Linked DNA regions of Alligator mississippiensis. The protein of the gene in region 3 interacts with the protein of the main gene of each other region in a pairwise test. Links are inferred from orthologs where the notes say so. Each region holds a gene or a part of one and is shown on either strand. Other genes may lie near its edges. The genes, in order: IYD, FKBP1B, TRIM69 and ASNS.

The links.
Region 1: the proteins of TRIM69 (region 3) and IYD interact in binary tests that used the Homo sapiens proteins (3 or more experiments, as listed by UniProt). The two-hybrid records come from large-scale screens. The link is inferred for Alligator mississippiensis from reciprocal best matches to the Homo sapiens genes TRIM69 and IYD.
Region 2: the proteins of TRIM69 (region 3) and FKBP1B interact in binary tests that used the Homo sapiens proteins (3 or more experiments, as listed by UniProt). The two-hybrid records come from large-scale screens. The link is inferred for Alligator mississippiensis from reciprocal best matches to the Homo sapiens genes TRIM69 and FKBP1B.
Region 4: the proteins of TRIM69 (region 3) and ASNS interact in binary tests that used the Homo sapiens proteins (3 or more experiments, as listed by UniProt). The two-hybrid records come from large-scale screens. The link is inferred for Alligator mississippiensis from reciprocal best matches to the Homo sapiens genes TRIM69 and ASNS.

What each region holds. Positions count from the first base shown.
Region 1 is NC_081824.1:129,388,349-129,395,409, forward strand, and holds the start of IYD (iodotyrosine deiodinase 1), read left to right. Parts: upstream 1-4,047; 5' UTR 4,048-4,169; coding exon 4,170-4,356; intron 4,357-7,061. UniProt on the Homo sapiens protein: Catalyzes the dehalogenation of halotyrosines such as 3-bromo-L-tyrosine, 3-chloro-L-tyrosine, 3-iodo-L-tyrosine and 3,5-diiodo-L-tyrosine.
Region 2 is NC_081824.1:15,854,947-15,862,875, forward strand, and holds the start of FKBP1B (peptidyl-prolyl cis-trans isomerase FKBP1B), read right to left. Parts: upstream 3,016-7,929; 5' UTR 2,922-3,015; coding exon 2,885-2,921; intron 209-2,884; coding exon 161-208; intron 1-160. UniProt on the Homo sapiens protein: Has the potential to contribute to the immunosuppressive and toxic effects of FK506 and rapamycin. PPIases accelerate the folding of proteins. It catalyzes the cis-trans isomerization of proline imidic peptide bonds in oligopeptides.
Region 3 is NC_081834.1:40,908,412-40,916,316, reverse strand, and holds the start of TRIM69 (E3 ubiquitin-protein ligase TRIM69), read right to left. Parts: upstream 3,019-7,905; 5' UTR 2,324-3,018; intron 1-2,323. Other genes in the region: B2M (beta-2-microglobulin), read right to left, coding at 7,245-7,258.
Region 4 is NC_081828.1:171,293,463-171,300,942, reverse strand, and holds the start of ASNS (asparagine synthetase [glutamine-hydrolyzing]), read right to left. Parts: upstream 3,010-7,480; 5' UTR 2,999-3,009; coding exon 2,905-2,998; intron 2,684-2,904; exon of another isoform or gene 2,593-2,683; intron 1-2,592.

The DNA.
Region 1 (7,061 bases), on a different chromosome or scaffold from region 3:
GCTGCAGCAGCCCCAGAATCAGCCAATACTAGTTGCCTGCACCAGGGCACATTGCAGCCAGGAGTAGAGGGGAGTGGGGAGAGCCAGCTGGCGCCAGCCGCTCCCAGGGCCACTGCAGCCGGGGCTGGAGTGAATGTTGCTCTGTTCCCTATGCTTTGCTGTCTTGTGCAGCCCCAGGAGCAGCGCCCCTTCCCAACTCCCAGCCTCCCTCCCTCCCTCACTACCATGGGAACCTATCCCTATTTGTTACATTGTAAAGTGGGTTCATTTTCTGTGAATTTGATTTATGCACTGTTCTCCAGGAACACGTGCACTATAAATCGAGGGAAACCTGTATATAGGGGGAGAGAGACAGAAGTTACCTGCAGAAATGCCTGTGCAAAAACATTTAAACTCAGGACAAATGATCCTCGCAGCTGTTGCTTCTCACCCCCTTTCTTATGTTCCAGGCTATTCTATAATAATGTATTGAGGTGACAAGCATGCAGTTTGTCATCCACCTTAGCTCATTAAAGTAGATGTCATGGGTACAGTACTGTATTGTTAGCAGACAAAGACTCTGCTTTAGCACAGGTGGCCAAGAAGCGTGCTTACAAAGCAGGAGGATGTAGGGTCTATCCCTGTTATACATTACTGCACAATAAATGTGCAACGTGCCACATGTGCAAGAGATTTATGGTATATTTAAATGATGCATTTGTATCAGGCTGTAATTTGTACATGTGGCATGCCTGTCCAAACGGCTGTGCATGCAACTGGGCTGTACATGTATTTTTTAAATGTCCCAGAGCTCTGGAAAGTTGAAATCAGGGCAAGGCTCTTCAAACCTGGGGTCCTACCACCCTGGGACTTTAAAAAACTTTGTGTGCAGCTGGGCTGTTGAGAACCTGGGATCTGGGAGAGGGTTTCCAGTCTTAGGCTCCCAGCACCTTGGGACTTCCAACAACTGCATGCATGGGTTTTAAAAGTCCTGGGGTGCTGAAAGCCCAAGACTGAGGAACCTTTCCCCAGTTCTGGCACCCCAGCACCCTGGGACCTTTAAAAGCTACCCTGCATCTGAACTTGCTGAGTGGGGGAATGGTGGAGGAGGCAGACAATTGACTCCTCTCACTTAACCCATGGGCTGTACTGTACATGGCTTTCAACTTGCCAGGATGTGCAATTGTTGGGATCTGGGATCAGATCCCATTGTGCCATTAAATGAAAGTCTTCCAGCACCCTCAGTGGCCAAATTCTTTGGGATAGTGACAACCATCAAACCCTAAGCAACCATAGATTCATTACGGTAATATGCACTTCTCTAGCATCTTTCATTTGAGCTTAAACCTGTCCTTTGTGAGATGTAATGCATTTAGCTTCACAGCAACCCTGCAAGGTGCTCCATTTTCATTTATTATAAAGATGGGGAATCTGAGGTACGGGGCCACAGAGTGAATTTAGAGGCAGAACCAGGAAGATAATTTTGGAGTTCCAGCTCCCAGTTCCCACAGCCTCAAAATTATTCCATTGTTGTCGTGAAGCCAGGACTTCAAAAACAACGATGAAAAGCAAACCATTACCCCACCTCACCATCTTCTTTTGAAAAACCCAAAAAGACAAATATTGCACAGGCAGTTTTCATAGAATTGTGAATTTTGAGGCTAGATGAGGCAATTCTGATGATCTTTTCTGATCTTCTACAGACCACAGAAATCCACTGAATCATTTTTATATCACACCCATAATTTCTGGTTGAAGAAGATGTATCTTTTTAAAAACATACCTGGTGCTGATTTAAAGAATTCAAGGATGGAGTGTCTGCTACAACCTTTGGCAAGTTGCTTCAGTGGTTAATAACCCTTGCATTCATAAATGTACTTTAGTTTCAGTCCAAATTTGTCTGACTTCAGTTTTCAGCCATTGGAGCTGATGATGTCTTATGTAATGAAAGAGCCGTCTACTCTTCTCCTGTTTATGGGAGTTGGGCTCAGATTCTTATAGGTCTTTGTTCACTCATTTGTCTCTTTATACTTGTAAGTCTAACAATTAGACAGCACTGATATCATTGGGACCCTCTGCTCATCTGCTGTTTAACGCATACACCAATGGTTCCCAACCTTTTTATGCTGCAACCCTAAATTGGCCACCAACTGGACCTCCCAACCCAGCACCGTGGGGGCTGCTGGGAGTGGAGTGCAGCTCAGGGGCAGGAGCGGGGAAGCCACCATTGCTCCCTTTGTGCATGGCAGTCCTTCCCCACCTGATGCTCCTGGGCCATGTGTGTGAGTGTGCATGTGCAGGTATGTGTAGGCCCTTCGTGACCCTATTGAGGACACCCTGTGACCCTGATTTGGCTTGCGCCCCGAGGCTGGGAACCAATGACCTACACGCTGCCACCTATGAATTGATTTCACCTCTCAGTTAATGATTTGCTTATAGCTCTAGTCAAAGCTTTGAAATAGGTTTCTCAAACCTTTAGGCATGCTCTGATCACACCAAAACCAAGTGACAGCCCACCACACGGGGAATGCTAGTGAGACCTGTCTGTCTCCTGGTGGTTAGGGTGCTCCCCAGTGAAGTGGGAGACCCGAGTCCAAATTAGGCAGAGAAGGGACGATTTGAATTCAGTATCCCACATCACAAGACTATTTGCTGTTTGTGGGGGGTCCCCCCCCCCCATTTTTTTTATGGATAAGAAAAATCAGCTGTGGCCAATTATGTAGCTGATCTGACTGAAGTGGGGAGTGGGGGGGAGGTGTTTGCCAGAGATCATCACTCAAGCCTCATCTTTTTCCTTTTCATTTCACCCCTGGGTAAGACTTAAGTAGTTTTTGGGAATTCTTCCTTAGGCCTAACTCTTCCCATGCATTGTGAGCCTGAGAACCTGATTCAGATTAGACAACTCCACCAGCCAGCAGGGTGCTTAGGCAGCTATTGTATCCCACTGCTTATACACCCAAGAATTAGACCAGAAACTCTTGGGCAATTATTTATCTAACATGACCCATGAGACCCTTTCGGAGTCACAGTTCCAGGATAGATTCTACCCTAACTAATCATTAGTTGTTAATAATTAACCATCTTTAAGAGGCACCATCAATATTGAAAGTCAGAGTTCTATCTCACGGGTTTTTCTGCTTCTTGTTATAAACTAGCACGTTTAAGAAGACCGAAAGACGTTAGAGAACAAGGTTGCGTTCATTCAGGGTTTTGCCTTTAGAATTTTTTTTATACATTGGACAGTACTTTGTGTATAGTCAGTGTCACTGGCGATATGTTACTTCCTGGAAGTTAAAATAGTGTGTGTAGTCTTAAGAGCAGCAACAGAGACAAAAATGAATCAGAAGGGGCAGAAAGAGGAAGTAGAGAAGGACAGGAGGAGACATCATGTGTGAGTGGTGGAGGTCTTAACCCCATCTGTGGCAAACACTCCCAAACAAATTTAGGACACACAGAAGGGCCTTTCATCTGTCCCCCTTTTCAGCATCTGAGCAATATCTCAGCTCTAAAGAGCTGGATCCTTTCAGCCAGTGCATTGTCCATAAGCAATTACATAGGACACTCAGTATATAGCGGTGCTGCCAGCTCGTTGTAGGTTCTCAATATTTGATGCTTTTCCTAGAGTCATGACTTCAGGTTTCATTAAGGAAGAAGAGTAAATGTCTAGCCCTCATGATTGCAGAGAAAAATGTGAAACCAACACGTCCCTACATTTTTTAAAATAAGCTTATGATCTTTAGGGAATCTGACATATGGCTTTTGCAATGCAAAAGGCTTCACTGTTGAAATAAAAAAATGATACCCTAAAGATAGAATAAGGACAAGAGCAAACAAATTCAGAGAGAGGTTATGGAAGCGCTGGGAATGTCATTCTATAACTTGGATGCAGATGCAGAAAAGACACACCTGGGGGGACAAAAGAGATCTAGCTTTCTGAAAATGTCCTGATTGCTGGCAGCCTCTGAATGCAAATTAGCCATGCTAGAGCACTACTGCCATCAGAAATGTTTGCCTTGAAGTGGGAAAGCAACCAAGTCTGAGCACTGAACTTTCCTCCTTCACTCCACATTTTGTTCCACCCCTTTTTCTCATCACCCTCCAAACAGTCCCTATTTCCTCTCTTTCTTCTTGGAAGACAAATTGTCTGAGGAGGAGGAGGAGTACCCCCTTCTCAATTTAACTCTTTGACCATGGTACTCTTTTCCTCCCTGACCCCAGTCTTTATAGCAGTGATATGTGTTTTGATTGGGATAATTCTGAAAAACACAAGGAAAAGCAGCAAGAAAGAAAAGAGTGATACTAAAAACAAACCAGAATCTCACCCATGGGTGGATGAAGACTTAAGAGACAGCACTGACCTTCATGTAGAGGAAGACGGTAAGGAAAATAGCAATCAGCATAGCACTTTTCCTGTCTGAATTTTCTGTTGATTTGAATAAGGGAGACATGATCCTCTGGACTACTGAGTGTGCATACAGCTCTGCAGCTACAGTGCACTTTCCTTAGCAGGGCAGAGGTCATACATGTCTGCTTCTGGCAGAGAAAGTGACAGTAGTAAGGACTAGTCAACCCAATTAGCTTTAAAAAAGTAACTGGGGGGTCTAATTGTTTGATCCTGTAGCAAAACCTGTGAGAGGGGGCTAGAGAGGAGAAAATGAATACGAATTCCCACTGTGGAGGTCTCCCATTCCTTATACTGGAAAGTGGGGTTTGACCTCCTGTTGAACAGGACTTCTTGATACTCCTCTGCTTACTACTTCTCTGCTTACTCAAAGGGGTGGTGTGTCTCTACTGTGGAAGCAGGATGTAGGGCTGTAACAAGTTCTCAGTGTATATTTCTATTCTGAGCTCTGAAGAACGCACATTTCCTTAGTACCATCAATACCCCTTTTCCCCTCTTGAGCCCCTGATGGGTAGGAAACCCAACATCAGATATGGAGAAAGGAGGGGTTCTGCAAAAGCACATGTGTTTCCATCACCATAGGGATCTTGGAGACATGATTTTATCTGATTTTGTATGCTCTGAAATTATACATTGCTCATTATACTTTTATCCTGCTCATTGCTATCATTGGCACAGTGTGTCTGTCTGACCTGCCAGCTCATTTCCATTAACTGTTTATGAATATGTAAAGTATATGTATTTTTCCTTCAATTACAATAACTGGCTCAGACATGCAGTCCTCAGCCGTGCATATGCTGATAACCATGGGGCCTTTAACTGTTTCAGTATTATGGGATTGAACTCTATTTGGAGACATTTTTAGGGTCAAATTTTCAACAAATAAATAAGAACCTAACTAACAGGGTCTCTGTCCTTGCATGAAGTCTCAAGGCTGCATGAGTAGATCTGATACAGAATTGGGCTATAAGTGTGTATGTGCACAAAAGGCACAGTCCTTTCTGCTCTTAGAATATGCAGTTTCCCCTGTTTCTTTGTAAAGCAAAGCTGCAGAATTTTGTAAACCCTTGAGATAAAGAAGGGCTTTTGTTTTTCAATTCTCATTTAATGTAACCACCTTTCTTGACCAAATCATTTTAAAGTTTTATGCATAGGTTTGCACCCCAAAATGATACCCACCCCAAAGCCAGGTTTTCTAGCTCATATAAAACTTCAACCTGCTTTCTGCCTCTGCACATGCTACTAATCAACATTTAATTTTTACTTCACTTTGGGCCAGGTTCTACTTCTACTTATTCCCCAACCAGCTGGGGGCTCGTGGCTAGCTGCCGCTCTCCTGCAGCTTTTTCCAAGCTCCCTGCCCCCTGATTGGGGAGCCAGGGCTGGGAACTTCCTGCTGCCAAAATAGAGGGACATGGTCCCCGCCTGGGTGCTGCCACCAGAGCCTGCTCGAGGCAGCTGGCAACTCCTGGGGGCAGGGAGCAGTCTCCCAGTCTGCTCCAGGAGACAGCTATCTCCTGACCTGATGCTTCCTGCCAACCCCTGGGCTGGCTACTGCAGGGGGCCAGTGTAGGGCTGGAGCAGGCAGGAGCAGACTGCTGCCAGTAGAACCAAATCTGCTCCCACATCTCTGCATGTGTACGTGCCTGTCCAGGGTGGGTTTACTCTGCCTACAAAGTTGATCCTTTCCAGTAATTTTTGCACTCCTCCTTTATCTGTAGCGGGTGGCATGTTTGTAATGGCTTTAACCCTTGCAGGATCTATGTGCACCCCTTTCTCAGAAAGTTTTTCTCCTAGTTATGTTATTTCTTTGACCCTGAATTTGCATTTTTGTTTGTTCAGTTTCAAACCTGCTCTGCGAGTTCTTTCTAATGCTTTTCTTAGCTTCAAACCATGCTCTATCACAGTATTTCCCCAAACTAATACATCATCAGTATAACCATGGTTCGTTCAATCAAGACCTTGAAAAATGTGTTGCATCTTTCTGTGATACAGTTCAGATGCAGAACACAGTCCAAAGAGAAGCCTACAAAAGCAATACCTTCTTAAGGGTGTATTGATGGTATACAATCTAGTGCTTTCCTTTTCTAGGGGAACTTGCCAAAACCCAGAAGAGGTATCCAAAGTGGACAAATATTTATCTTCTGCCACATTGACAAAAACCTCTTCCCTGGTTGAAATGGGAAAATGTTCCCTTTTGATGTACCTATTCATTTGCTTAGGATCGAGACACAATCTCAAGGATCCATCTTTTTTTCTATTATGACCAGTGAATGAACCTAAGCAGTTGGATGCTCGACTTTTTCCTATTATGTCCATGTTAACTAATCTATTAAATTCCTTTTTCAGTTTCTCCCTTAGTACAAGGGGAACATTTCTTGGAGCGTGTATAGTAGGAGTATTTGGTTCTCTTAATTCTATCTTGTTCTCAGTTGGCAGTTTCCTGAAGCCTGGAAACACATTATAAAGCTGTTCTTCTAAGTTCTTGCTTTCTAATCCCTCAATGGCATCCATTCTTTTAATCAAGCCTAGAGTTTTACACATTTGCAGCCCAATAATTGGCATTAGCTTTCCTGGGACAGTTACAAACTGAATTTTTACTATATTACCCTTGTGTCTAACATGCAGTGCACGAATACCCTTAGTTGCACTCATGTTCCCATTATATGCTCTAAGTTTC
Region 2 (7,929 bases), on a different chromosome or scaffold from region 3:
TTGTAGGGAGCCACGCCTCCAGAAGATTCATCAGAAAAGTATCAACAATGAAACAAAGGGCTAAAGAGGGGCAGGGGAAGAAAAAAAAAATCCAATTTGAAATGACCAGTAACTCCTAAAATGCAAGACAGTTTGGACAGAACATACAGAACATGCTTACCTGTGTAGTGTACCACACATGTCTGACCCTTCTTTGGAAATGTCCTCCCTGTTGAAAACATAAAATCTAATTAAAAAAAAAATCTTTGGTAGCATGCCTGCTCACGATCAGCTTTTAGAATGAATGGGACGAAGAGGCTAGGCTGGGGACTAAATCCAGGGCTGGTTTAGGTCTGAGTGACATTTTATCCAAACGGCCAATATCCAGAAGGGAGATAGGTAACTATAGCTTAGGAGAGAGAGTTCCCGTTATGATCCATGTTTAGTTTTGGGAATAATACTAATATTTTCTCATAATATTGCCTTTTCCTTTCATACAAGGATACCATATTTTACACTTACTGTAACATTAGATGTTCCCCATCAATGGACTATATCCTGCTGTTGCAAGGGGAGTCTCAAAAAGCATAATGGATAGATCATGTTCTTAAATTTCTCTGAGCCATTTTGCTGTCATTCACAAACAAAATCAAACTCTGGGATAGTGGTAAAGTTCGCTGTTAGTATTCATAATTCAAATGCCATATATTTAACATTACTTTCATGAGAACACATGCAATTAGTAAATGGGAAAGCTTCCCAAAAATCCTCTCTCATACAATACAAATGCATTTTTTAAATTGGCAACCTTGAGGCACTGATATCCTGAAGGGAGCTCTTGAAAGCCCCTCTGTAACAATGGTTATTTTGCCCCTTGTTCTGACACTAGGCATAAGAGAGTGTTTGAATAAAACACTTGCCATTGTTGAGAGTTACTCATCTACCCTAGGTTCTGCCAGCAGGCTTGGACAGGCATACAAAGCTGCAGGGAAATTTTCCAGGACACATCCAAAACTTCCAAGTAGCAGCAGATTAAAACAGATACCACTGATTTGCAGAACTGAGTTGGCAGGCACAGGACCCAGGCTCAGCAGAACTGATCTGCAGTATATGGGATGGGATGTACTAGTGGAGAAACAACCCAAGCAGGAGCTTCAGAAGTTGGATATTAAGGCAGGATCCTGCGCCAACCTCCATGATGGCCTTCTGTTGTCTCTTCCGTCTGAGTTTCGTGTGCTACCACAGCATGCTTTATTATCAGGTATGATCTGAGACGGACAGTTGTACACCAGAAACAAATAGTAGGAGGAGGGCAGCAGAAACGGTACGCAAGTCAAGCACAGATTCCTAATATATAGCCATCAGTAGTGAAGAGGTTTCCAAACCTTTTACAAACTGCCTACTCTGTTTAGACTGGAAAATGGCAGCGACTGCTTCTTATGATACATTTGTATAACACCGAGAACAATGGGGCTGGTAGCTAGCCATAGCTAATGCTACTGCCACCCACAACAGGCCCCAGGCAAAGGATATGCTATTAGATTCAGAACTAAATGAGAAGGAATATGGCACCATTCATCTTTGACCTAATTTCCACTTTAGTAAAAGTAGGTGTTATGCTAAGAAATTCAATGGACCTGTATCAGTTTGCATGAGGGCTGAATTAGACCCAAGGAAGCCAAGACCACTGACTACAGCAGAATGACTGTCGAATAGATCTGGGGCAACAGTACATACTAATTGTGGTTTGATGACACTGTTCAAATCAAGCAGTTTAGATGAAGATTTACAAACCAAAGAAAAGATATTTATAACCTTAATTTGAACAGCATCTCCCATAGTTAGCACATCTCTGTATACTGCACAGGTAAATAATACAATTCCAAGACTAAATTCTATCCTCAGCACCACTTACAATAGCTGCCCTTCTTCCATGTATGGAGATCCCCCAAATTTAGGGCAAATGGGAGCATCATTTGGCCCTCAAAGCTAAACAAAGCAGCAGAAGAAGAAAATGAAGAGTAGAAAAAAGCTCGAGCCAAGAAAGGTAATCCAAGGATGAAGCTGGCCCCTTCATACAGCTGTATATTAGCGATGGTATTTATCTTCAGAGGTAGTATGGTGACGCTACCAGCCCAGAGCAGAGCAGCCCTGACTTGGTTGTGAAAAAGTGATCTCATAAGCTAAGATTCACGTTCAGTCTAAACTTGAGCTGCCCATTGCAAACCTGGGAGAAATGGTCAGGCCTGTCAAAATGCTGCTGCTGCGCCAAACATTGCTGCCATACCCAGCCAACGGCTCATGAAAAACTTTGGAAACACATTTGGGAAACTCTGGGAGCCTGCACGTGAAAGGCTCGCTTCGACCACAGCTACTTGCACGACTGCAATCGTGTCTCACGTTCATTCCCACGCTCTCCCCACAGGAGTCAACTGTAACGTGGAAAAGTGTAACGTGGGAACAGGAGTGGTGTCAGCAGACAAGTGCCCTACAAGCTGTCTTGCTGCTGCTGCCCCAAGGATGCCTCCACCAGGATGGGCTTGGGAAGCCAGCCGGCGCTCGCTGCTGCCTGGGGGCTCCCGCACGTTGAGCGGGGAAGCGCGCTGCGCTAGCATTTGCTCTCGTTACCCCCGTGCATGACTTCACCACACTTGGATTTATGCAGCTGTCAGCAAATGCCATTTAGACAGCCCGGCCCTCTGGCCACGCAAGGGGCAGCCGCCCGCTCGCACCCACAGACCCTGCCACAGCCACGCCAGGGATGCGCCCACCCACCTGCTCCCCTGCAGCCCCTGACCGCTGCGGCTCTCCTCTCGCCAGCGGATGCCCCCCCCCGCTCCAAGTGCTCGCAGCCCCTCTGATCCCACGTCCTGCCCCTGCCCCTGCCCCTGCCCCTGCACGGTACCGTCTCCCGGGGAGATGGTCTCCACATCCACGCCCATGGCCACCGCCGCCGCCGCCGCCGCTGCAGAGCCCGAGCCCGAGCGCCTCGTCCCCGGCGCGGCTGCCCCGACTGAGCGCCAGCCCCGGCCCCGCCGCCGTCACCGCCGCAGCCAGTGCCTCCCCCGCCAGCGCGGGGCGGTCCCGGGCTCAGGGGGGCGGGCGCCTGCTGCTGCTGCTGCTGCTGCTGCTGCGGCCGCGGCCCCGGCCCCGGCCCCGGCCTCTGCCCGCGCCCGCGTCGGGGTGCCGGGGCAGGAGCGGCGCCCCGCAGCCCCTCGGCAGCTTCCCGCGGCCGCAGCCCGGCCGGGTCCAGGCGGTGGGAAAGGGGGGACCCTCCAGGACAGCCCGGGGGTCACCAGGCACGTTGGCGCTGTGTGCCATGGGCACGTTGCCACTCCAGAAGCCCCCCGGAGTAGATTCAAATCGAGGTGGCGACCCTAAGCCAGCTCGGATCACCAGCCCCACTGCAGCTTTTCAGAGCCGCAGCCTGGGCTGATCCGGGCTTTGGGAAAGCGGGGCGCAGAGGGCAAGGTGCATCCTTCCCAGAGGAGTGGTGGGCGCTCAACCTTTTTTTGTGCCAGGGCCCATTTGCAAATACTGACGGCCAGTCCCGACCCAGGGCCCCTCACTCCTCAACCCCTGCCCCCAGGTCCCAACTCCAGAGTTCAAATTACTGGGGAGCTCTGCCCCCCCCCCCCCCATCAGAGACGAGAGCCCCTTTGTAAGATTTGAAAATCATAACCTGGAGGATCTCCAATTTTATTAGGGCATCATGATGTGCAGGCCTATCTTTTGCAGACCCCCACAAAAGTCAAAGCGTGATTTGAACCCTGCCCAGCCCCCAAGTGTATGGGGTACAGGGTGGGTGTGAGGGACAGGCAGGGGGCCTGAAAAGCCTCAAGCAGCCCCTAGAACACGGCACAGGCCTTTGCCCAGTTTAGCCACAAGCTTTATGATGGGCTAGGCGCCTCGGGCAGGATGGTTCGCTGCCAGACTGAAGTGAAGTGAAAACAAACAGAACTCCACTGAAACCAGTGGGGCCCCCCAAGGCTCTGTCCTAGGACCTATACTATTTAACATCTTCATCAATCATGTGGACATAGGTGTCAGAAGCAGACTGGCCAAGTTTGCTGATGACACCAAACTCTGGGGTAAAGCATCCACACCAGAAGACAGGCGGGTGATCCAGGCAGACCTTGACAGGCTCAGCAAATGGGCAGATGAGAATCTGATGGTGTTTAACACCGAAAAATGTAAGGTTCTCCACCTTGGGAGGAAACACCTGCAGCATCCTGATAGGCTCGGCAGTGCTACACTGGCTAGCACTACAGACAAAAGGGACTTGGGGGTCATGATTGACCACAAGATGAATATGAGCCTTCAGTGTGATGCTGTGGCTAGTAAAGTGAGCAAAAAGCTGGCTTGCATCCATAGATGCTTCTCAAGCAAATCCCAGGATGTCAACCTCCCATTGTACTCAGTCTTGGTGAGGCTGCAGCTGGAGTTCTTCATCCAGTTTTGGGCTCCACAATTCAAAAAGGATGTGGAGAAGCTTGAGAGAGCGCAGGGGAGAGCCACACGCATGATCAAAGACCAGGAAAACAGACCTTATGATATGAGGCCGAGAGCCATGGGACTCTTCACCCTGGAAAAGCACAGGCTCAGGGGTGATCTGGTGGCCACCTGTAAGTTTATCAGGGGTACTCACCAGGATCTGAGGGAACATCTGTTCACCAGAGTGCTCCAAGGGATGACAAGTTTGAACAGTCATAAACTCCTCAATGACCGTTTCAGGCTGGACATAAGGAAGAACTTCTTTACTGTCTGAGCCCCCAAGGTTTGGAATAGACTGCTGCCGGAGGTGGTTAAGTGCCTACCTTGAACACCTTCAAGAGACATTTAGATGTTTATCTTGCTGGGATCCTATGACCCCAGCTGACTTCCTGCCCCTGGGGGAGTGGGCTGGACTCGATGATCTTCTGAGGTCCCTTCCAGCCCTAATGTCTATGAATCTATGAAATGAGTTAGGAACAGCTGGCTGAGCTGTGGGATAGGAGCTGTGCCACCAGGAGCCCAGACAGCAGAATGGCAGAACAAAGGCTGGTTTGATCCTAGAAAGGTCAAGACCATTAAAAAAGAGAGGCTCCATAACACCCATGGAACAAAGAGTTTAGAAGGGATCAGGTAGACTGCAATGAGCTGTGAAGTCAAGGGACTCCTTTGCTGCTGCCTGAATAGAAATGCTGCTCATGCTGCCAGACAGTTGGTTTTAAACTTTGGGTGGAGCAGAAATCAAAGGGGGGTACAACTGTACCACTGCCCCCCCTGGATCTGCCTCTGCCTTGTGCTCCCGCACTGCTTCTTGATGGTGATCTCCCCTGGGCCCCCACTGCCCACTGCCCTCAGTTATTAGCCATTTCCATTGCTGATTGGAAGGGGAGAGTCAAATTGAAAGGGACAGTCACTGGGGTGGCCATGCCAAGCATGCACACATAAGGCAGAGTATTCTTTGGCAAATCTAGGATTTTGAAAGGGGGACGTAGGGGCAGATGGCCTGGTGCTTCACCATATGCAACAAAAGACATGTTTTTATCCAGGTAAGAAGAAACTAGAAGCTTTAATCTGCTAGGGGCCTAGGGCCATATTATTCAGTTTAAGATCAAAGCAAAAACACATATAATTTTATTGGCATGTGTGTTAATTTGCTATATTATTTATTCTGTATAAAAAAAATCAGCAAACTAGGCAAAAATAATGAAAAAAATGTTGTTTCTTCAGTCCTGCTGTCATTAGAACTAAATGTGCATCTCTTTTAGATTTATAAAACAAAATCTAGCCTTCTGGAGCATCTTGACAGTACATCCAGTATTTCACTGAAAGAAATTTCCACACCTCAGCCGATTTTCATGTACTTTTTTGTTTGTATGGTCTGAAACAGGCACTAATATATATTTCAAGCGTGGTAGTTCACAGAGAAAAAAAATCTGTTTTTAGTAGGCGTTTTCCCCCTATCATGTTGAATTAAAAGTTGTAAACACCGTGACAGATATGTACATACTTCAGGTACCTCTGTAGATCAGAAACACTATATTCCCTTAAGTGATTTTGTACATGAATCTCACCATTTCCATTGGCTCTGAGGGGATCATTTAACTGATCAATCTGTGTTTCCTGGCCGGTGAGTATACCAATGACATTTGAATTTTAACTGTAAGATATTTTAACTGGATTTTGTTCCCATTTACTTCAAAATTGTAGGTCTGATATTTTACTTCTGTGTTTGGTCTTGTGATGAGGCCATCTCGAGGCCGGTCCAATTGTTGGCCCACCCACCTGTCTAAGGCAGTTTACCCTGTCTTGCCTGCCACACCTTTGATGTTTCCAAAAATAGGTGTTTATAAGCAGGAGGCTGCACATTTGGTTGCCCTGATGCCAAGGGCAAAATACACAGCTCCAAACCTTCCCTTGCACCATGTCATATGCCTTGCAGATCACATCCACAAATCACTTCCAACTCCCCCGGCCCCATTGCTGGGCCACACTTGGACTCTGGCCCAAACTTTGCTTCAGATGTCTTCAGACGTCCTTGGCCACATACCCCTCACTAGGGCCTCTACTCCAGCTGTCCTACATGCAGTCCTTCAGCCCCCCACAGACCCTACTCTACATGGCTCCAGCTGCCACTACTCTGGCCAGCCTATGCACAGTCCTTCAGGCACCCACAGACCCTACTCTATGTGGCCTCTGGCTTTCTGCCCCACACTGGGCCAAACTCAGCCTCTAGCATCTCTCTTGTCCATTACTCTACCCCTCACCAGGGCCACTACTCTGCCCCTCACTGGGCTGCTGGGCCTTATACCCCATGGGCCTCAGATCCTGCTAGATAGACCTTGGCCCTGTCACAGGTCCCACTCTATGGGCCTGGACCCTGCCTCAGACCCCACTCAGTAGACCTGGGTCCTATGCTCTTCTGTCGGGGTATGCTCCCCTAGCCTTTCCCCTCCACAGGATACCCACAAGACAGCAGGGGCTGAGGCTTTTTGACACCCCATCCTTGCCTTTCACTGGGGAGGCACAGGTGTGGCATTTCCTGGGAAGTGCCCCACCACAGGCAGCCCCACCACACCATCCAACCCCAGCAGGGTGCAGTTTCAGGTCACTGCCCAGGACCAGGAACCTCCTTCCTCCCCATAGTTCCTACCCTGACCTTCAGGTGTTCTGGGAGCTGCAGGGTGGATGATGTTGCTCTTCTGGCTCCCTAGATGTCATTACCAGCTCTGCTCCTACGGCCTGGGCTTATACTGGGGCTGCCTGGCCCTTCTCCAATCTGAGGACCCTCTTGCAGTCAGATGACCACCCAATTGGGCCTAACTGCACCTGCTGGCTGCTCTATAGCCTGCTCAAGCCCCTTAAAGTGGCAGGCACCAAAGGTGCCCTGCCACAGCTCTATTCATTGATGGCTGATCTGTGCAACTGTTGTCAGTTTGCATTATATTGTAAATAGCCCTGAATCCAAACTATGCAGTGCGTTAGTATAGCAAATTACTGTAGTATTATTTTACTCCTATTGGAATCAATTGTATGTAAGATATGTCATAGCTATGTTTGTGTGATGCCCTAATTACTAAGCTATTCAGCAAAAAAAGTTGGAAGACCTTTCTCCTTCTCCTCTAGGGGCATGTCTACACAAGGTAAACTGCAGAGTTGCCTAATTAGCTCCACATTAAACATCTCAGCATCTACATGTGTGGCACTAGTAGGCCACAGGAAACTAATAAACTCTGCAGAAAGTTAGGACTTGTAAATACAAGTATTATCCTGCTGTGGAGTGTTTTCATGCACAGCAATGCATGTGTAGACACTGACCCAGCTAGCTGCGTTATAAGACTGTTTCAGTGCAGGGGCTGTCTGCCAGCCAATGCCCTGCTGAAGCACCCTCGTGCTCCAGCCAGCCCCTCTGCAGCATGGTGAGCTGGGTGAGAGCAGCTTCAGGCTGGCATGCAGACCCCC
Region 3 (7,905 bases):
CACCCAACACATTCCAGGAAAGCACATCCCAAGAAAGCATATTCAGGGAAACCTAAAAGGGGTTGGGCTTAGGCGGAGCAGTGTCAATTTCAAACCTAAAGGTGCTGCATTGTAATTGTCTTATTGGATAAACCCAGGCCTGGGTAGTAACCTTTTATGATAATTTTTAACACCTTTCAATCCCATAGGGTAACAGCTAGAGGGTAAGATTGTGAGTGGCTCTAAAGCCAACAGATTAGCATAAGACTAGGTATAAAAAGTGCGTGCATCAGGTGACCAGTAGGAAGGAGGGAACAGAATGGTCATTGTTGTTCCATGCCCGGACCCCAGACTCCTGGTGTGAGTGAGGATCAGATCCTGATCAAGGGATCTTCCCTGGTAATCCCTCCAACAGCATCGATCAGGGACGCCTGACTTTGCTGGAATCACCTGGCATTGAGAGACTATCAATAAGTTGCCAACCCATGTCTGTCTATCTGTTGTTTTAAACAGCCCAGTGGCTGATACCCCCACAGTGCCCAGCTGGCCTGCGACAGATTGATCTTTCTATCTGTTGTTACTATCTGTTGTTATTATTTACTATTAGCTGTTTAATACTGCATTATCTGCTTATCATATTTATCTTTCTGTTAACTGTTGTGTGTGAGAGCTATAATAAATTTGCCTTTATTTCACTCCCAACTTTGCCTCCTTGATCCGAAACTGAACCAAACAGCCCAGTGGCTGATACCCTCGCAGTGCCCAGTTGGCCTGTGATAGAATTGATACAGTCACGGTGCCCAGCTAGCCTGTGACACCATCATAGAGGACAGTCTGGTTGTCCTCTATTGATACACAGCCGGATGCCTTTATGCCCTCTACTTTTCTCTTCAAGAAAAGAGAGGCCCCTCCATTGAGGCCCCTCTCTTCAACAGAAAAATAGAGGACGTAAAGGTATCCGGTTTCATAGCAATAGAGGACAGAGGACAGACTAGCAGAAAACTGGAATGTCCTCTATGATGGCCACCCTAGATGCTTTGAGTTTATAAAGCTTGAAAACCACTGCTCTTGAAGACCCAGTCTCACATACTACCCTCACCTTCACCCTGGGCACCCAAAATTCAAGTGTCTTATTTGAAAATCAAAACCTGTACTTATATTTTACCTGGCTACATTTTGTATCTTGGTTGCCCTAATCTAGAGCCTCCCAAACTTTCTGGACTAATAATCACTGTCAGCTCTCAAAATTGATTGCAGACCACCATGCACCTTTGTCCTAAAACTAGACTGATGCAATCTTCAGCCACAGTTTGGGAATCCCTGCCCTAATAAATGATCTAAATGACTGTAAGAAGCCCTCCCATGCCACACTGGTAATTGAACCCTAAAGCTTCAGCACTGCAAATCCAAGTCACAGCCACCTGAATTAAAGGAGCAGTCTCCCTACCACAAAGCAGTAGTAAGCTTTTATTGCCTTTTGAGGAACTGCCACAACAAACATGTGGAACCAGAAATGTACTGAATACTCCTGGTCACATGGGATTCTTTGAATCCTTAACGCTTCAGGACATTTTTTTTTTATGTAAAAACACACACACACACACACACACACACACACACACGCGTGCGCGCTTTTAAATATAAAGAAATAGTCCTGCGCTGAGTTTCACAGTGAAGGTACTGGGCCCTCAGTCATTCCTGTCCTCGGCTCGGTGAAAGCTCACACAAGAAACCCGCGTGCCCCCCCTCCAGCTAGCCCTTCTCTTTTCCTTATAATGCCTCACCCCTATGACAGCTTATTGGGCTGCATTTTTCTTCCCTGCCTGGTCTTGTGTAGGATTTTCTGTCTGAAACACACTGGAAAGGGAGGAGGCAGATGCCCTGCAAGGTCTGATCTTCTGCCCATGGCAGCAGGTGCATCAACCGTGACAACGACTCTGAGCCTTCCTGCAGGTCACACCACGACGCTTTGGCCGCAGGGTGGAAAAGCAGCCAGAATCAAGGCGGCTTCTCTGTGCTCCCTCCCCTCCTGTGCTAAGCTTCAATTCACAGCGGTACATCGTAGTGAAGGAGACAGCAACAGCGTGCAGAGCTGCTGGGCATAAAGCTAAAGGGAGCGTCAGACAGCCCAGAGCCAGACACTGGCCAACATCCAGCAGCTCTGCTCTACACATACCCAAAGCACACCTATCACCCCCCTTGCAAAGGCATCGTAACTCACAGTGCACACCCCCTGCCGGCACCTACGCCCCCCAAGCACACGCAGACTTCTGTAAATGCTCCCCCGCGCAGGTCCCGGCCAACCCTGGGGCGAGGCTAAGCGAGCCCATGGCGGAGCTCTTACCCATAGGTGACAGGCCTCAGCGAGCCTGGGGCCAGGCCCGTGTGTCTGCGGTGAGGACGCAGGAGGTGGAGGGGGCCGTTACTGAGACATGCCACCGGAAAGCGGCTGGGGGAAGGTTCTGGAACCGGGCAGCATGGAGGCAAGGACCGGGGGGGGGTGTCACAGCCCGGGGGCAGGGGCAGCAGTAAAAGACCTGGAGGCTGGAAGAGGATGGCCACTGGTCTGATAGATCCAGAGGATGCGGTTGTGATCTGGAAGGAGACCAGTGGCCATTCAGCAGCGGACGTGGCTGTTTGAGACGGAGGTGGCAGCTGACAAGAGGCACAGCGGCAGTTAGCGTGCGCTGTGCTGCCCCTGCCCTTTCCTCTAGCGCGGGGCTCCAACAAGCAGGGCCTGCTGACAGGGGAGAGGCTAAGGGAACTAAGATAATGCTTTGCCAACAATTAACATCTTAAAAGTGCTGTACAAAACTCAGCTCATCTAGGGGCATCAGGAAAGTCAGAAGATTATATAGGAAGGTCAGCTAGAGAGACTGGCAATACTGTAACAATAATGCTGGCTTCACATTGTCCTTCAGAAGTATTTCAGTGCTCCTGCCATTAAATCAGGGGTGGAAAACATACAGCTGCTATACCTGGCCTGCTGGGCATGACTAGGAGGGGGATGTAGCCTGGCACCAAATCCTGACCCCTAGGTCCTCAGTGGATATGGAGTGAGTGGGGGCTGTCTGACACAGCCATGGGCTGCCTGCAGCCACCTTGCCAGCCTCTATGACTGCAAGTGACTGCCTTGCCTGCAGCCACTGTCTCCACCATCACTGCAATGACCACCAGCGCTGCCATGCCCACAGTGGCTGCTGTCACTGTTGCCCCATGACCAAGACCAAGTCCAGCCTGCAAGGGACCCCACAGGCCAGATACATCTCAGAGCCCGAAGTGAGTTTGACATCCCTGTATGAAATAACTGAAGGGGAACCTCAAGCTCAATTTAATCACCCAAATGTAAGCTTAATGAGAACAAGCTTTTCCAGAGCTTCACCTCATTAGAAATGTCATGTTCAAGGGGCAGGTAGGTGGGAAGTGCAATGGCACCTTTTCCCACTGTTGGAGGTGAGAAGCCCGAGCTGTTCTTGCCTGCTGTGTCAGGGCTGGGCCCAGCTGGGGGTGGGGGACAGGGGCAGCAGGGATGGACAGGGATCCCCCTGCCTGCACCTGCTCCAGCCAGGCTGTTGCCACTGCCCCCTCTCTGGCTGAGCCCAGGTCCTGCTCAGCCTGGCTGCCTCTGCAGCTCCCTGAGCAGTGGAGAATGCAGCAGTGGCAGTGGGAGAGTTGTGGGGAAGGGGGAAGCAGAAAGAGACTGCCTCGAACAGGATGGGGGAAGAGGGGATTTTCACCTGCTTTAGGGGCTAAAATGAAGTCTGCCCACAGTCATGGGGGCAGAGGCTGGGAGCAGAAGGCGCAGACATCCCTGCGGTGTAAGTTGCAGCCACCCCTGTAGCATCCGTTGTTACTCCTGCACCGTTTTCAGAAATCCTGGATCCGCTCCTGGTCACATCAGATTTCATTTTGTTTAAACTTTCAAAGGAAATGGCCTGTTTCTAAAGGTGTAACGTTTCATTGCTGCATCTCCAGCCTAAATGCTAGCAAGTTCTGGTGGCACGTGGGAACTAGGGAAAACAGACTTCTAAATTTGCATTCATGTTTTTGTACACCTAATTTAGAAGATGAAGCTCAGAGACTTCACCTACACATCCATAGCATCAGAAACATTCTGTCCTGTTGCAGTCCTTCCAAAGTTCCCCGAAACAGAAGAATTCCCTTATTATTTGTTGTTGTAGTCAAAAACTGAGCAAAAGCCAAGAACTGGCTTTTTTTTTAAAAAGAGTGCCTAGTTTTAACAAGGTGGGGAACCACTAGTTTAAAGGGTTTGAGCACCACACTGCATTCAGTGCCGTGAGACTACAAGATGCCGCTAACTCAATAAATAACATATTTCACAATATTTTATTAAAATGTACAAGACAAAATGTGCTGCAATTAAGCATACACCTACCCCATCCCCAATGCAGGTAAGTAGATTCAGGACAGTACAACTTTCAAGTCTGCAACATAAGTTCTGCTGTTATGCCTTAGGCACAGAATGGATAAATTGCAAATAAAATCCAGGGATTTTGATCTTGATCTCAAGATTTACTTTAAAGTAACTGATCATTTAAAGTAGCAAGAAGCCTGTATTGTATTTGCAGGTGTTCTTTAACCTAACTAAGGTATCTAATGTCTACAATGCACTTATGTTAGTAACCAAGTGCTTCTCTCTCTCTTCAGAGAGCTCAGTGAATTTGGGCAAAAGGCCCAAATTCTTAGCTCTAGACAACTAAGTGCCAGATCAGAGTTTATGCCAGCGAATTTTCACTTCAAGAAGACCCTCACCCCCCTCCCACTTCAGAAACAATAATTCAGTATTAACTACAAAGCTATATGCATTCATTTTAAATATCAAGTAGTTGGGTGCAAGGTGACAGGACTGCAGGTTAGGGCTGAAGCCAATTTCAGAGTGCAAAGCAAGGCACAACTTCAAGACCTGAAAAGGTAAAGAGATAAAATGTATTAGTGAGGAAAATAAAACTTAGAGTAATTACAGTTATTTTAGAGGACAAGGAACTGGAAAGACTCCAAAACCCAAGCCACAATAATCTAGAATCCCAAAAGGCCTACGCTGGAGGAATGGCAAGAGGCCATCTTATCCACCATACTGAGAGAATCCCCAAATGTTTGTTTGACCTGTTCTTCCACCGCCTATGTGTAGCTTGTTCCAGCATGTCCCTGTTTTCATTAGTATCCACCCCCCACATCTACTATAAATCTACTTTGCTGCAAGTTAAGCTACACTTTTTTGTCCTTTCCCAAAACAACAGGATGAACAATTCATCACCAGACTCTTCAGCAGCCTTTTACATTCTACAAGACATGTCCCTATTCAGCCTTCTTTTCTAGACCTTCAACTTCCTCAAAGGTCATATTTTCTAAACCCCTCATAATTCTTATTGCTAGAATATCCTTCATTTGTTTACATCTTTCTTTGAGAGTGCTACCCAAAACAGTGCAGTTCGCCAGCTCCCATGTTCTGAGTAAAACCCGTTATCTCCCTGGTCTAACTATTACAGTTGCTTTTTTGCAACAGCATCATTGACTCAGAAGTTTATTTCATGCAACTTCCCAGATTCCTTCCTGCTTCAGCAAGTGTTCACTCCCCAGTTGATTTCTAACTGTGGCACTTTGCAGGTACCTTTATTGAATTTCACCATGATTTCTGACCATTTCTCCAATTTATCAAGATTATTCTGAATTCTGATCTGATTCTCCAGACAGCTGGCAAACTTTTCTAGTTTGATGTTGCCCACAAATTGTTTCTGCATTCTCTAGTCCATCCTCCAAGCGGCCATCCTCCCTATTACTGAATTAGAATCATGCCCAGAAAAGGGTCCCCAAGGAATTCCCACTTTTAGGTTTACATATAGACAAGTGTCCCAAGGTTGCTCTCTCTCCTTACAAGTCCTAATAGATCCTAATACTACTACCAAAAAATTAGAGAAAGTTCTAGGAGCAGTTATACCTCAGGAGTCTTATTCTGTAACCAGCTGTAGCTTTTGAGATCAGTTTGAATTCCTCAATGTAAGCACTGATCCCTCTAGCAGTATATTCCAAATCACATATTTGTGGAACCTTCACACAAATTAAGTCTACCCAAGCCTAATGGGGAGTCTGAAATATGCTTAAAATACACCAATTTCTATAGCTTCCTTCCATACTAGTGGTTATGTAGTAAAGGCAGCTTCACATCCAGCTGCTTTTACTACCCCCCACCCTCCCAGAACCACATACCCATACCCCCTTTACAGCTAGATCAACTCAGGACAGCATTCACCATGAGTCTAGGGACACCTGAACTTATGTCTTCTGGAACCAAAGCAAGATGCTTCAGCTGCTCTTCTACCCTTTCTCTGCTGCATACTAAACCTTACTGGTATTCAAAGGGCTAACAGATATGGGGCTAGCCCCTCTCACTCAACCACTGTAATGATTTCCTATCTCCAATGCAGTCTGCAATACACTGGAATATGGCCTATGACGTGCTTTGCAAATTCATCTCGTTTCAAAGGGCTGCTTTCTCTAGTTCCTGGAGAACTGAGGAGTCTCTAGAACGGGTGGGCAAAATACAGCCGGTGGGTCAGATGTGGCCCACCAAGGGAATCTGTCTGGCTCACGATGGGTCCCTTGGTCCTGCCCAGCCCAGGCCATGGCATGTGTGGCCAGTCCTAGCTCCCATCCTGCCCTACCCACAAGGGTCCTGGCTGGTCTCCACAGAGACCCCAGGATCATAGGGCGGTGGCAGCATAGGGCCAGGGCAGAACAGCCATACATTCCCTGCATGCATGCCCCTGCCCACAGAACCCATGCCTGTTGTAGGGCCATGTGGGGAGTAGTTTGCGAGACTGTCCTGGCTCTGCTGCATCACTGCACCAAGATCCCAGCCCCAGCCACCCCCAGATTCCAATCCAGGCCACACAGGGAGCTGTGAACTGTTGCAGTTGGGAAGAGGAGGGTGCTGATCTGGTCTATGACAGCTCACCAAGAACTTTCTACATGGCCCTTGGGCCCTAATAACTGCCCACCCCTGCTCTTGAAGGACTAGATATTGTTAGGTATAAATGTTAGGGTGATCACACTCCCAAAGTACACCACAAACATCTACAAATCTAGTGGGAGGACACCGTCTCTGTTCTTCATCCTCTGGCCCTTGCTTCCTAATGCAGGAAGCTGCACACTCCCCTCCACAACGTGAGGATCAGTCTGGTACTGAACTCTTTGACAGCAAGACAAAGAAAGCATGTAACTTACCATCTTTGGCTGAGGAAGACGGTTCAGTTATCTGGGTCTGCAAGAGAAAGTGGCAGAATATGAGACTTCCCTTCAAACACCATAAATAACCTTCCTACAAATCACAGAACACATGCAATGCAGTGCTGGATGAAGTGCACTCTTCCAGCAGCCAGATAGATGCTCAGCATAACCAGTGCTGGCTGATGCAATGGACCAGGCCACTGCCACCTGTATCTGTCTAAGACTTTATCTTAGTTTTGTTTGTTGCAATTAATTATTTTCTCTCCTCCCAACAAGCCAAGCTCAGCTGAATTCCATCCTGCCCTGCATCTCCAAACTACAACCACAAAAACCAAGTCCAGAAGCTCTTTTTAAAAAAAAACCACCACACTGTACCAGTTATAAGAGTCAATCCCACATTTTCAGGTTCAATTTTAAAAACCATGTTCCAGGGAAAAAGCTGTTGATAACTTCTGATCAAGACCTTCGATCATGGCCCTTGCAAAATCCCAAAGGACAATCAAACAGACAAGGAAAGAGCCAAAGAATTAAACTCCACTACAAATTCCAAAGCAAAACCCACATCAAATGAAAAAACATCATATGCACAAAAATACTGCAACTGCAAGTCAGGACAACAGGGAGCCCAATTATACATCAAGCCCATGTATAAATCAAAGGGTTTTTTTTTTTTTTTTTTTT
Region 4 (7,480 bases), on a different chromosome or scaffold from region 3:
CCTCTCAGAGGCAGCCCCTTTCATCCTCCCCTAACTCCTGCTGCTTCTTTCTTTGCTGCTGCTGCTGCTTTCTCTACTGCTGAGGGGCAAGGAAGCTCCAGAGCCATCAGGGACAAGTTGGGGCTGGGCTCAAGTTGGGGGTGGGACAGTAGCCACAGGGTGGCTGGAAAACAGTTCCCCCCACTCTGCTCAGTCACCGCATGAGAAAGATGAACCCTCTGTCCATTCCCACGCTGTCACTGTCGGCATCCCCAGCTGTGCCTAGCCCCCATGCAGGCAGGAACAGATCTGGTGCTTCCCCAGGCAGTGAGGAAAGGCAGGGGGGGAAGGGGTGGGGAGAAGGCATATGTCGCAGAACACTTAGGTGCCCTGCTCCTAAGAAGGGAGAAAACTGCTAGGGAAAGAGCCCTAGCAGTGAGTAATGAGTCCAGCTGTTGGTTGCCGGGGCAACCAGAGGAGGTCCGCTGACCAGAAGGGGCAGGGCCTGGCTCCCATATAAAGCCCAGGGGCAAGGCCAGAGGTAGTTCCCTACCAGCAGGCAAGAGGGAAGGAGCTCTCTGTCTTGGGAGAGAGGAGAAGCCTGAGGCAGGAGCAGCATGTAACTGCTGTGAGATGAAGAATCCCCGGTAGGCTTGAACGTTGTTATGGCCAGGCAGCTTCTGTTTAAGTTATAGCTGAAGGGCTTGCGTTTGTGTTGCAGTTTGTCACTGGTGGTTTGGGTGAAGCTATCAGGGGATGAGGGAGGCCTCATAGGGGACTCACAGTGGTGTGGAGACCCCAGTGCCAGTGAGGGTGCAGCATTTGGGGTGCACAGACCCCAACCCCAAAGAAGGGGGCAGCATTGTGGAGAAGCCCCAGAGAAGGGGACAGCATTACTGAGGAACCCTGGAGAGGGGGCACTGCTGAGAAGCCCCAGTGCAGGCACGGTGAGCCCTGGAGAGAGGGCAGCATTACTAAGGTGGCCCCGGAGAGAGGGCATGGAGAGAGACAGGGCTGCAGAGAACACAAGTGCCAGAGGGGGCGTGGAGACAGAGAGAGGGAGAGAGAGACAGAACAATGTCCGTTACACCTGCGAGGCTTGGGGCGTGGTACATGCGTGGTAGGAGCCACGCACAGCTGGGGTGTACGGAACACCCAAGACAGGAGAACCGTGGCCAAGAAGACAGAAGGCAGCCTCCCTATAGAAATATATAAAATCAAAGTCATGGCAGGAAAATTGGAGGGTGTGAGTCGGCACCTTGGCATGGTAAAGGAGGTGGCAAGGGACAGCACGGTGACCCTGACCACCCTCCTGTTACAGAATACCTCTGGGCAAGAAGGGGATGGGAGAGAGTGTTTTCACCTGCTTTAGGGACTTTCAAATGTCCCTATAGGCTCCCACAGTGCAGTTACAAAAAAACCAGGATGTGCTGGTCACTTTCCATGACACTTTAAACTGAACAGTTTATACCTTTCTAAACTGGCTTGGGCATCTGGACACTTGTGAACAGAACACACATTTGCCCTCTGGGGTCAGGGTGCAAATCTAAAACCAGGTTCTGCCATTTTTAGTCCAGTCTGTGCGCTCCAAAATTCTGTTGTTACAGGTATAAACCAGTTTACTGTGCTGAGCTTCTGTTCTGTTATGGGTACAGACCAGTTTCCCATCAATTATAGTAGTAAGTGTAATGTCTACACCTGGCCTTGTGGTTTAAACTACATTTAAACCCGTCCAAGACTTATGTTCTTGGACTTATGTTCTATGCTTTGTTCTGCCCCTCATGTTCTTAGCAGACTGCACAGTCATGGGCCACATCAAGAGTATTCACAAGGGACTGAGCCTCTGTACACAGGAGATTAGTCTAGACCTAGAGTATGGCTCGATCTACATTAATCAACCCTGGCTGAAAAAGCAGAGTCCTCCAGCGAACAAGTGCTATATGATGGCAACTTTTTGGCTGTCATCTCACTGCCCACATGCATACTCTAATCCTGCAATAAATAAAACAAAACTCATTCCACATATTTTCAGAGAGAAGCCGCTTCATGTTTAACAAAAGTGAAGAGCTTGCATGGCAGCCCTTGTTACAGAGCACTGGACATGCTGTAAATTCATCCCTTTGCTTACCTCATGGAAATGTGAGGTAGCTCATTCCACTTATTTTGTTCGGGCATGCCCATATCCTTAATGAGCAAGAGTTTTAATTCAACTGGATTCTAATACCCTCCCCTCCCCCACTTACTTTGTGCATGACAGCAACCCCTGCTGCGGGATTCATTGCTGGGCTCTCGGCTATTTCCAGGCTGATGGGGGAGAGGGGAGGAAAGGTGGGGGGAGGCTATCTTCCTACCTCAGGAACAAAAGTATTTTTGCAAAAACCGAATGCAGTGGCTGGGCCAGTGCCCAGGCCGGGCAGGACCTGAAACCACCCTCCACCTGCTGCTCTCTCCGTCCTGGGGGGGAGCAGGTCCCCAGGTGCTAGCGGAGGCAGGACAAACCCTCCCCAGCGCCTGCCCGCCCCCCTCCGGGCAGAGGTTGCTCAAGGCACCCACAAGCGTTCAGGGGGCCGTGGTGCCTGCTCCCCGTGCCCTTCCGGCTCCCTCCTTGTTAACCTGGGATCCACTCTGTCCTCCTCCCATTTGTCCTAAGAAATCAGCTGCTGCATCCTCAGCAGTCCCCTTGGTGGTAGGCGGCCCGCGCCCCCGGGCGCCGCCGCGCTCCTTGCAGCCAGCGAGCACGAGCGGCCTCCCGCCGCCGCCGGCTGATGCAACGCGGCAGAGCGCCGGATCCCTGGTGCGTGCTGGGGGGAGCACATGGCCGGGCTGCCGGCCCCCCGCTCCGCCCAGGCGCTGGGGCCATGCGGGCTGGGGCGGCAGCCGGAGCCGCAGCGCTGCGCCCGCGGGGTCCCCCAGCACCTTCCCTACCTCCGCGTGAGCCGGAGCGATCCGCTGCTGGTCCCGACCGGGAAGTGACCGGCTCCTCCTCCCGGCGCTGCTGAAACACGGGGCTGGATTTCATCAGGCGGCGCGCCGCGCCCCGCCCCGCCCCGCCCCGCCCGAGGAAGCTGGCTCTCGCTCCCAGCGCCTGGGTCGGTTCTCAAAGCTGATCTGTGCACACGTCCAGGTTGTTAGTAATGAATTAGACAGGCCGCAGGGTTAGTGTCATCAGCAGTGTGCGTTTACTAGTAACCATGTCAGATAATACGATGATCTAGCTGGGGCTGGTCCTGCTTTGAGCACGGGGCTGGACTAGATGTGACCTCTTGAGGTCCCTCCCAACCCTCATTTTCTACGATGCGCATCATGCATCAAATACTTGATCCTGAATAAGGGGCTGGGCTTATGGGGCAAAGGGTTTTTTCAGCTCCCCGCAGCCTGCACATCTCCACATCCAGAGAAGCCTTGGAGAATTTGGGGCAGGGCAGTACCTGACCCAAAGCTCAGTTTTCACCTGCCAGCTGGGGAGATACCATGACCACGATGGTGGCAAGGGAAACCCTGACCAAGGGAGTGCAATTAAAACGGCACTGTGTAGTGGAGGGTTGCACCCTTGTCTGCTTGCAGACAGGACTCCCTACCAGAGCCTCATAGTTAGCTTCCCGCTGGCCAGCTTCCAGTTGGAGGATCTCAGCTACTTGATGACTTTATAGAAATGGGGATCTCCTCCCTAGCTTGTTCCTGTGGCCGTAGGGCCAAGGGCAAGCCAAACTCGGGCATCTGAAGCATTGGTGACACGTAGGCCAATGAGATCAGCCCTGCTCCCCCTGGAAGCGCCAGCTGCAAAACTGGAAGTGCCAGCAGAAGTGCACTTCTGGTTTTGCTGCTGGCTCAGGGATCATGGGGGATTCTCCCCCCCCCCCCCCAAATCCACAATCTGGTGCCCCATCCCTGTCTCGGGAGGCACCAGTCACCCATGATCTGAAGCCCAAGCCCACCTGCACGTAAGATGCCTGCTAAAGGATTTGGAAGTATTTGAAGCTCCAGGCAAGGGTGGAAGATGTTTTCCAGTAATAGGGCCACTTCTGGTTCTTGAATGACTCATGGATTTGGAATTGATTTGGCTGATCTGACTTGGAACACAAAAACATTTCCTTAAAAAACACACACAAAAAAAAAACCCAACAAACAAACAAACAAACAAAAAAAACACCCCCAAACCTTCCAACTGACAGTCTTCCAGGCCTGTGTGCAATGTCCATTGTTTCCACTACTGATGCATATTATTTTACATTTTTTAGTAAATATACGTTTTTGATGAAATTCTAACTCTTTTGCATGTCTAGTACGTTACTAACAGCTTTTAACTGTGTAATGATTAGTTTTGGAAAAGGAACTAAGAACTAGGAATAAGAAACCCACTTCAGCCTCAATCCATCTCAAAGAGCAGTGGAGAGAAGTCAAAGATCAGAGGAATAGAGAGAGAGAGAGAGAGACTCCTCCCTCTGAGGTATCTGGAGGATCAGCTACAATAAAAGCAATCTGCTCCTTCTATCAGTGATGTCCTGTATTTCTGGAGAAAACTAGGAGGCTGGTATTATTCCAGGCAGCACCAGGGGGGATTGGGGAGCTAGTAAAGCCTACAGTTGCTGTCTGGGAAGCACAGTGTCAGCTACCATTTAAAAGGATCACAGAGTGCTAGCAAACAGTCCTCTCAGTTAAATGCTTTTCAGAGGTCTTTTTTTTCCCCCCATGTGTCATGGTTTTTACAGGCACTCTTTCTTCACAGTGGTAAATGTCAGAGCCTTCCAGGTTGGCATTTCATTGGAGAAAAAAGATAACCAGCAATAATCATAAGAGAAGAAGTGGAAATGCCCTCCAGAAGTCATCTAGTAAGCATGACCCCTGTGGCTTGGGGCAGGATCATCCCTATCCAAGCCATCCCATACAATGCATAATCAAAACTCTTTGTAAAACTACCATCAGCCCTGATGCAACACATAACACCCTAACCTGCCATGGATAAAGCCTGGGTCTGGGTATAGTCTTGCTTGGGCAAAATTTCTTCCTGGGAACTGAGTGCTGGTTGGGCTGACTTCCCTGCAGAAGGGGATTTATCTGCGTTTTCTGTTATCATTATGATGTTTCTGACCATCTCCGTTAGAGAACTGTATTTTACAGCATTCTGGTATGACCAGGATGGTAGAGATGGCATAAACGGGTAGCTGGATCATATAGCCTCAGAGCTCCAAACTGGAAAAAATCAAATGTTAGGCCAGGGAGCTTCTAAGTCTCAGTTGTCCTCCTTCATACTGATATAAAGAAGCAGCAATCAACAGGAAGCATTAAAGGAAATGACTGAGCTAAGGAAATGGGTTGTTAGACACAGGTAATGCTGCCACCCTGACTACAGACCTACTCTGGTTTGAGTCTTTACTTGTTTTAGTTATTGGCTAGGCTGTGCTTTGTACTGTTTGTCACGGCGGGGTCCTCTCAGAGGGCCATGATCTCCTCGAGGTCCCTTGCTCCATGTCAGGCCGGCCCAAGGCACCCTCTAATTCTCGCCCACCATGTCTTGTTGGAAAACGTAATAGGGAGGCTGCCTATGACTCCCTGGGCATGGCTACTCAGGACCTCTGCCCCGGTGTGTTCCGGGACCCCTGGAGGTCTCCCGATACGGTGGGTGTTCCTCAGACACCCTAGCCTTATGGGCTATGCGTGGCTCCTACCAGCCCCAAGCCTCACAGATGTAATAGACGTTGGTGTGTCAACATGCCCGCTTCCTGGGCCTCCTCTATGATCTAGCCCACTCTGGGCTTTCTCTAGTACCCAGCCTCTCACTGGGACTCTTGCCTAGCCCACTCTGGGCCTTCCCTGACGGTGTGGTCCCGCTCAGGAACTCTCTAGCGGGCCTCGGCCCTTCCCTGGCCAACCGCACAGATACCCTCTCTGACCCCAGCTCACTGCGCTGCTACTCCCTGTCTTCTCAGGGGCAACCACAGCGCCCCGCTCTCGGGCTGCTCAGTATGGCCCCACTCTCGGGCTGCTCAGTATGGCGCTTCCCCTCTTGGGGGCTTGCCGTGCCCCCATGGGGCTTCTCAATGAAATTGCCCCTCGCTCTGGGGCTGGGGTTTATGTCCCCTATCTGCAACTTACTGGTTGCGCCCACGACCCACTGGCCACGCTCCTCGCCACCAGTTGCTCCTGCACTGGCGTGTAAGCTGCGCCTTCACTGGCGCTATGAAAGTAATGCACCCCCTTGGCGCTAGCCTGCACCCTCACTGGCACTAGGGCTCCCCACACTCTCTCTAGGGTCCCTATATGAGGCACCTATGAGGTACCTATGATTGAGGTCAACACACCCTCTTGGCACTAGGGCACCCCACACTCTCTGGGGTCCCTATGATTGAGGCTTCCTCCAACCCCTACAGCCTCACCCAAGCCTCCGGGTGTAATAACACAAACACAACTTCAAGCCTCCCAGCTATAACTCCAAACACAACCCAAAGCCACCTGGCTATAACTTAACATCATGGCTTAACCTTTGCTCCAGCAGTACTTGCTGTCAGCCTCAGGAGCTCCTGCCTCTCTGACTGCTGACAGAGAACTACCAGCTTAGTCTCAGCCCTGGGCTTTATAAGGGCCAGGCCCTGCCCCCTACAGGCAGCTGGCTCCCCTTAGTTGCTCCGGCAACCTGCAGCTGTGCTCAATTGGCTCTGCCAGGGCTCTCTCCCTGGCAGTTTCTCCTCTCTAGGAGCAGGCACCAGGGTGCCCTGTGACACTGTTATAAAGGGAAATGGAGCACAAGGGACTGTTTGTTTGTTGTTGAACTTGCTTCATTTGGCTTAGGAAAAGAGAGCTGCCAAAGTTTGTATTTGTAGGAAGAAAGGCTGAATGATGGATTTAGTATGCTCTATTCCAGTTTTGAAGAAAGAGAATTTTGGGAAAAGGACCTTAATAACTGCCCAAACTTCCTTAATGCAGGGCTAAGGCCACCTTGTGGGGTGTTGTGCCCTGCTAAACTGTTCAGGGATACTCTTATCTTCCCACAAGCAAGAAATTAAGAGTCAAGGTATGTATTCCAATTTAACTTTCTCTGCCTCTCTTCTTGGGGCTGAGAATGGACACTGCAAGTTATCCACATCTAATCCAAATGCTTTTGGTGTGTTAGGTATAGCTGTATATAAATGGTAGAGGAGGAATTAAAGTAGTTTCGTGGAGCTGTAGTTGTATTACAAAGAAATCTGGCTTTGATATCCTCCTGCGTGCTCAAAAGAAAAATGCATCTGTAACTTGATTGTACTTTAAGAATACCTCCTACTTCAACAATGTTTTGAGATGCACAAGGGTCCTAGCAATTGTAAAGTGAATAACAATGCATGGGTTTTAAGTGGGTAGAAAATGCCATAAAATTTAGGGAGTAGAAAGTAGTTTCTGAGGAGTAAGCATAATGTTTGAGTGAAGAACAGGTGTAGGAAGCTCCTAGTCAATGCAGCTTATTAAACCGAAACAAGCATTTGGTGCTAGAGTTGCATCCCATTTTATCAGGGATGCAGACAATCTG